Coturnix japonica: one gene and its partner. The protein of the gene in region 1 purifies or fractionates together with the protein of each later gene. This does not show direct contact. Links are inferred from orthologs where the notes say so. Each region holds a gene or a part of one and is shown on either strand. Other genes may lie near its edges.

Region 1 (3,511 bases):
GTAAGCTCTGCTGAATGCCTCCAAACAGTGCATTGCAGAGCCCTAATTAATCCCACTTTCATTGACTTTCCATCAGTATTAGCAGAATAGGGCCTTCTTGATTCTAGAGCTGCTTTCTATTTTCCACTGCAGCCTTAATAATTTTTAAGTTTCTAGCCAGTCCATGGAAGGATTAAAATTCTTTGCATGATCAAGCTGAAAAAATAAACCCACCAAAACTGTGTTAGCATTGGCTATTCAAAGGAGGTTTGATAAAATGTTCTAAAAATAGAAACAGAAGAAAAAATATATAAGACCTGGAAAGAGGAACTTGCCTTTCAGCCTTTTGAGAGATCAACTTATTAGCAACTGAAAACAGTGCGCTGCAATGGAAAGCGTGAGGTAGACTTGGCTATTGGTATCACCCTTAGCTCATTTGCTTTATATCCTCGAGAAGAACAAAAATCAAATATTTGAAAAGCCATCTCCAGCTTTGCCCAGACGCAGGTGTTTGAAGAATTTAATTAAAATAGGCTTAAACCCAATTTTGGGAGGCACAAATACCTGTATGGAGAAATCTTTATTCACTCTAACTGGATTCAAATGTCCCACATTGCAGTGACCTGACAGTGAAGCCTAATTATTAACCAGCACAGCATGTGCACACACACACACAAAAATTGCACTCATTTTATTTTAATTGAAGACTGAAATACCCTTCCCATCTTCCTCTCCTGCCAGCCCTGTCTAAGCCTCAGACACATAAAGGTGACCGAAGTGTCTCCTGTTATCTACAGGCCACCCAACCACAGCCCTTGTCTTGGGCTGCTTGTGGGACTGATGGAGGCACTTTGGGTTATCAATGAAAACCCCACTCAGGATTTCTTACACAATAATGCTCTTACCTCCCACTTGGTCTCTTCAATCTTTGGGAGAAACTCAGCCTGCTCCTTCTTGAAAGCCACAAATTTCTTCTCCAGCTCCTCTCGCTGCTGGAGGAGTTGCCCCATGTCATCTTGGAGTTTTTTTTTCTCCTGCTGCAGCTTGAAGATCTGGAGCTGCAAGGCCTGTTGTGCCCTCTGCGCCTTTTTGGAGACCTGCTGCAATTTGTTGGCGTAGTTTTGCCTGAGATCCTCCATTTCCCGCTCCCAGATCTTCTGCTTCTCCTCAAACACTTGGAAGATGGCTGCCTCGCTTTTGTCCAAGTTCCTTCTCATCTGCAAGACCTCCTGCTCCTTCTCCCACAGCCTGTCTTCCAAGTCTTGGATGATGTCGTCCGTCGAAGGAGAGTGGAAAGGCATTGTTTCATTGAGATGGTTCAGTCTGTTGAACGAAGAGGTGCTCTTGCTCGAAGACCGGCCGCTGTCTGAGGTAGATATCCCATTGTATCCCACGATGTTCTTGTCCGTGTAGGTCGTGCCGATGCGGTTGATGTGGCTCGTCGAGGCGCTCATCGGGCCCACGTGCTGGCTGTAGCCTGTCCCATACGTGGGCAGACTCGTTAACGAGTTACGGCCCGAATCTGAAAGGCCTCCCACTTGGTTTGTAGTCCTGTTAAGGCTGCTCTTGTCGAGTCCGCTTTTGGGTGCAGATGGGCTATTGCTGTTGGTGTGGTTCAAGCTCTTCCTGTTCTCTGTCACCCCGTTGCTCTGCGGCGGGCAGAGGTTCTGCATGGAATGGAAGTTTTTAGGAACTACGGGTTTAAAGGCTGAGGGTCTAACTAAGGGCTCATTGCTCTGCAAAAGGAAAAAGGACCACGCATCAAAGACAGCAGGACATTTGATAATGACACACACAAAAGATACATCAACACAGGCTGGGTCTGGTGGAGCTGAGGCCTCTCCAGCTAGCTAGTTCCATATTTCTTAGCCCTAACACATCCTTGGTCATTTAGGATTTAACACGTGAAACCTGAGAGGAGTTGGATACTCATAAGTTAACAATTCATCTTCCTTTGTCCCTGTTGAAAGAAGAGCTTGACCCATCCCAAATCTGCATGATTTTTTCCCCAGAATACTCAATTCAACCTCTTACTGGTGCTCTTTGCTAAAAGAAAGGCTGTCACCTGCTTATCAGACCTGATAAAATAACTTTGATTTTGGCAGGTTACGTTTTGAAGGACACCTAGATTGGAGGCTGCATTTCCCTTCTGCTGAAAACTGAATTAACCCCATGGATGAGCAGCTGTCCTGCTCTTGAAACACTAGGCAGTCAGCTCCTCTACGTGGATATCATATCCTTCATGCAGTAGGCAAGAGTAGGTGGGATCTATGGCCTCATCATTGTGATGCTGGGCAAGTAACATGCTGAAGCTGCTCCCGATTTGAATTGTTTGTTTCCTGTGAGCAGACATGATGCTGGAGAGAAAATGGACTGCAGCTGCAAAGGATTTACAGAGGATTTTAGAACCTCTGAAGTCTTGCACATTCCTCTCCCCATGAGTGCACCTACAGAAATAAAATTCTCCTCAAAATAGGATTGAGTCTCTCCCTACTGTGGGTTGGGCTTCAGGTGAAAATTAGCCCAGAGGAATCGACCTTGTATTTGAAAGTGCCTTGCAGAAGAAACACAATGAGTCCTGATGAGCAGAAAAGGCTGGAGACCAAAAATCTGGCATCTGTCACGTGGGATTGAGATGGACTACGGGAGCCATCAGGTTAATGGCCCACGAGACAAGGCCGCCAAATGCTGCTGAAACGACACTGCTTCTGGCAGCCTCCCTTGGACACAAATTATGGGATCTGCTGGAGCACAGCAGCAGGCTGCATAAAACATCTGGGCTCTGGGCATCTGCTAAGCTGATATGAGCCACAAGGACTGTGCTTGGACAGGGAATAATGTTTGCAGGGGTAGTTTACAAGCCTCATCAGATTGCCCCTCACCAGAAGCACTAGGATTTTGAACGGATACACACAGCTTCATTCAAGTAAGACCTTTTTGTGGCAGTGGGCCATAGGAGATGGCCTGTAAATGGCTCCAAAATAAGAATTTGACTGATGCTGGGCTGACTGAAAAGAGGACCAGCTCCAGTTCTCCCTTCTGTCAGTAGGAGAGATAATCACAGTAACTCAGGTGGGTTAAATAATTCAAAGAACTGGAAGCTTAGCTCTGAAAGACTTATTATCATGCTATTGGATTTTTCCAGAACTAGCATTCTCCTTTGCCCCACAAAGGTAGTAAGTATTATATGAATTGTAAATAAAAATTGACCATCTGCATAGTAAGAATTAGACTGTTTGTCAGAATTACACCATTAACTGGGTGGTGCTTTTAGAGCCAAGTCACAACCATTACACTGCTCCAGGAGGCAGGAGTTCTCACCTGGTCTAGTTTGCCGGAGATTGGCAATATCTTTGGTGGGTTACTGGGCTCTCGGTACTGGGGAGGAGGCGGCATGTTCTTCTCATTGTTGGTGGTCACATTCCCACAGATGTCCATCTTCACCTTCTCACTCTTACGCAGGTCACCGTTGATATAGAGGGAATTGGAGACCTTCTCTGACTTGTAGGTCTTCTCCTCTCCGGAGTAGCGG
Region 2 (4,010 bases), on another chromosome or scaffold:
CTACAACGAGATCTATTTACAAAAGGATTTCAGTAGTGATACAAGGTTTCCATGCTTCCATAAAACAAAGGTATCAAGAAAACTTTTGACTTCACTTTAGAAAACAGTTGGCCAAATGGCAATAAAAATGACTGCAGGTAGACTAACCAAGAACATCAGCTGGAACAACTTTAACCCCAACTACGGGACTGCAGGTTGGAAAGCACCTGAAATAAAGCCACTTCAAGAGGAACACTGAATAGAGAATCTAATTATAGCAACAGAACTTGCTTCTTTGCTGAGAGTCACCACCCATTTCAGTTCAGATAAAACTATAAAACGCCATCACAGCAAACAAGGAATAGTTCTTGGTGAGTTTTATTAACTGGTCTTCTTGCACACAACCACACAAGCAGGTGTTTCATACACATTAGCATAACCTATTCAGGACTTTCACACTTGGTAAAGCACTGGCTAACTTACTTGAACTAACAAAAACTCCCAGTAAATTCATTAAGGCAAAGCCTAACGATATAGTTAACCCAGACCCATTTCTTTCCAAGGCCCTGCTGGAATCAAGCTGTGACATACATGCTAGCAGCTACGTCCTATTTAAACACAATGTTAAAACCTAAGTTTTTACTTGATGCCAGTCATGTTTTTCTCCATTGCATAAACCATCTACCAGTGTGTAGGAAGTTATTTACGACCATCATATGCTCACTCCTAGTCCGTTCACAGCCCACGTGCTTTAAAAATTGATAAATTCCTGATTACTACATCCTTATTTGACACAAGGAAGATCACACTATCCATAAACTGACACTGAAATAGAGACCACTTGGCTGCTATTAGGTAAAATTATCCTTCTCGCTGCTTCTCCGTAACTGTCCAACAGTGGGGGAAGGGATTCCAATGGCAAACTCCAAATACACCTGAGTATTGATACAGGAACTGGAATATGGCAACAAACTTTCTCACCTACTGGCCTGTAAACAATATTAAAGAACCCAATGTGTGCATACACAACAACTTAAGAGAATGGGCTGCATCCTTTTGTGATTTAAGAAGACTGTGCTATTGGACAGCTCAGTCAAAAACGTTTAGGAAATACGATTGAAACTCCATAAGCTTCATAAACTTTTATTCAATTTTTAATTCGTAGAACAAATGTAAATCCAACATACGAACTCTACTACTGACCATGAATGAAAAGGCTTTGATTCTAAATATTTTGTATAAGCGAAAAACATTAAGCACAGCCTACAAAAGTAGCCTACACATACACACACACAGAGTTCACAAGATACAAGTAGATAATAGAAATACTAGCTCGTGTTCACAGTTATCTTCAGCGTTAGCATTCTAATTCTATAAAGTATAATTAATTTTCCAAAAATACCCAACCTACAGATGCTGGGGGGAGTACAGATAAGGAGAAACAAGTTCTACCAAAACTTCTTCAGGCTACGTTATTCCAGTGTGGTAAGTTACACTCTACTCAGTTACTCACAGATAATAAAGTACCGCTACAAACAAAACATCACTTTATTCATCCTCAAACATTACTGATAAATTCTTCAGCTCTACCAATATAATAAGAAAACGAGCTGTTCACTTATCCAGATCCCCTACGACGCTGAAAGCCACGTAAAAGCCACTGTGTGCACCTACTGGCAAAAGTTACCTGCACGCTCCCATTGGGACTACAACAGTAGGTTGTCCAAGACATTCCTGTCGATTTATTTCATAGCCAGATATTCTGCCTTTGTTAATTTTAATTTTAAAGAACAATGAATGTTTATTTCCACCGATGGCTGTGGAGTAACAGGAGAACTAAGTAACAGCAGCAATCTAGACACATGATCAAAGGACCCCTACATGGCCTTTGGGCAGACTAAACTCTAAACTTCAAAGCTGATCGAAACTCAAAAATGCACCAATTTCGAAATTCCAAATTACAGCAGTTCTAATTGTGTTTTCCGATTTTGTGGCAACGGGAGGGAACACCACAACGGAGGAAAAAAGAACCCCACACATCACAGGAGGTCTCTGGCACCTCCAGCAGCACAAAGCTCCATTCCTAGCGGGCTGCAGCCAGCTACTGACACCCCGCAGGTCCCGGTGCGCTGCTCGGCCGCCGCTCCCCGCTCTCCCCAGCGCAGCCCGATGACAGCAGCCTCCTTCAGGTACTCCTGCCCCGGCCCCAACTCCCCCCGACCCCCGCAGAAGGTGCGGGCAGAGCCACCACAACAGGTGCCCGCCGCGCTGACGGCCCCGCTCCTGCCACCCTCGTCTCCCCGCTCCCAGGCCGGGCCGAGACCCCGCTCCCGCCCACCGCAGGGCGTTGCGCATCAGAGCGAGAAGAACCGGGCGAACTCCCTTCCTTCATCCCCGCTCCCGGGGCCCGGCTCGCTCGCATCCCGGTAGCCTCTCCCGGACACCGACGAGAAAAGGGCCGCAGAGGCCGCAGTCGCTGCCCCGGCCTGTCCCATTAGGGGGCGGCGGACGAGAGGGCGGGGAAGGGCAGCCCCGAAGCCCGCAGCGGCTCCGCGCCCCGCCAGCGCCGGGCAGCGGCCCGCCGGGCCCCGCGCTCTCCCCGCCGCCTCTCTCTAAGATGGCAGCGCCGCTGCCCCCTGCGCTGCGCCCCCTTCGACCGCGCCGGGCCGGGAGGTGGCACCCGCCGGTCCCGCTGCGCAGCGCCCCGCCGCCGGCTCACTCACCGTACGAGCCCCGCGCTCCGGCCCGGCTCCTCCCGGCAGCGGCCTCTCCTCTCCTCCTTTCCTCTCCTTTCCTTTCCTCTCCTGCTGGTGCGGCGGGCAGAGCGAGGAGCGAGCGCTTCTTCTTCTTCTTCCCCCGGCCTCGGCCCGGGGCCCCGGCGCGGCGGCGCCTCCCTCTTGCGCGCTCCGCAGTCCGGCCGGCCGCCCCGCCGCGCTCGGGCCCGCTCGGCCGGCGGCGGTGCCGGTGCCGATGGCAGGGTCTGCCCGCTGCGCGCCTTCTTCTCCGGGCGGCGGGGAGAGGTGGGGGGGGCCCGGCCCGGCCCGGCGGGCGGATCCGCGGCGCTTCCTGGCCGGGCTGGATTTTCTATCGCTCACAAAATGGCGCGCGTTCCAAACCTGCGCAGCGCCCGGCGGCGGCAACGGCGGGGCCCGGCCTCGCCTCGGCTCGGTGAGGTGCGGCGGTCGACGGCGGCCTGAGCCCCGGCCTGGCAGCGCGGGGACAGCGGCGGGCGGGCGGCGAGAGCGGGCGGGGGGAGGGGGAAGAGGAGGAGGTGGTGGAGAAGGAGGGGGTGGGGGGAAAGCGCAGCGCTGTACCGAGCCCCCGGGAACTCCTCGCTCCCTCCTCCCTCCCTCCCCCGCCTGCCAGCCTCTACCTCCTCCCACCCCACCCGCTCCTCCTCCTCCCTCCCGGAGCGGCTCTGCGCCGGCACCGCTCCCTCACAGCGCTCCGCAGCGCGGGGTGGATTTCCGGCAGACCCTCGGGGACGAATTATTGCCCTTTTTGGATATATACATATATATATACATATATAAAATTGAAGGTGTTCTTCTGTTTTCTTGTCTTTCGGAGTGGAAGCGGGGAAGGGGAAAATAAGCGAATAAATTAAAAGAAAACCGCCACCACGGTTCGGGCGGGAAAGGGTTTGGGTTTTTTTGTTTGGGGGTTTTTGGTTTTTTTTTGGGGGGGTGGGTGGAAGGGGTAGGTTAAAAAAAAAAGGCGAACCGACAAAATGGCGGCGGGGCGAGCTCGTCGCTGTGGCAACTGTCCGTCAGGGCGCCCTGCTGCCCCACCCCGCCCGGGCGAGCGGGAGGGAGACGGCGCTGACGTGGGGAGGGAGGGAGAGAGCGACGGGTAAAGGGCCGGGCTGCCGTAGCCCGGCAACCGCTGCTTCCCCGCCTCCCCTCGGTGACGCTGTGACGCTGTAGCCGTGCGGGCCGCGACGCTGCCGGCTGGGATGGACTCGGCTCGCCGGGCTCCGGGGCGTGAGGAAGGGAGGGAGGGAGAGGCGGGGACGCTGCCCGCCACGACGG

Evidence for each region.
Region 2: the proteins of LZTS3 (region 1) and DYRK1A purify together in Homo sapiens (affinity purification with mass spectrometry; 3 studies listed by BioGRID and IntAct, with this or other methods). This does not show direct contact. The link is inferred for Coturnix japonica from reciprocal best matches to the Homo sapiens genes LZTS3 and DYRK1A.

The regions. Positions count from the first base shown.
Region 1 is NC_029519.1:80,345,173-80,348,683, forward strand, and holds part of LZTS3 (leucine zipper putative tumor suppressor 3), read right to left. Parts: coding exon 3,301-3,511; intron 1,716-3,300; coding exon 885-1,715; intron 1-884. UniProt on the Homo sapiens protein: May be involved in promoting the maturation of dendritic spines, probably via regulating SIPA1L1 levels at the postsynaptic density of synapses.
Region 2 is NC_029516.1:96,407,781-96,411,790, reverse strand, and holds the start of DYRK1A (dual specificity tyrosine-phosphorylation-regulated kinase 1A), read right to left. Parts: upstream 2,810-4,010; 5' UTR 2,703-2,809; intron 1-2,702. UniProt on the Homo sapiens protein: Dual-specificity kinase which possesses both serine/threonine and tyrosine kinase activities. Exhibits a substrate preference for proline at position P+1 and arginine at position P-3.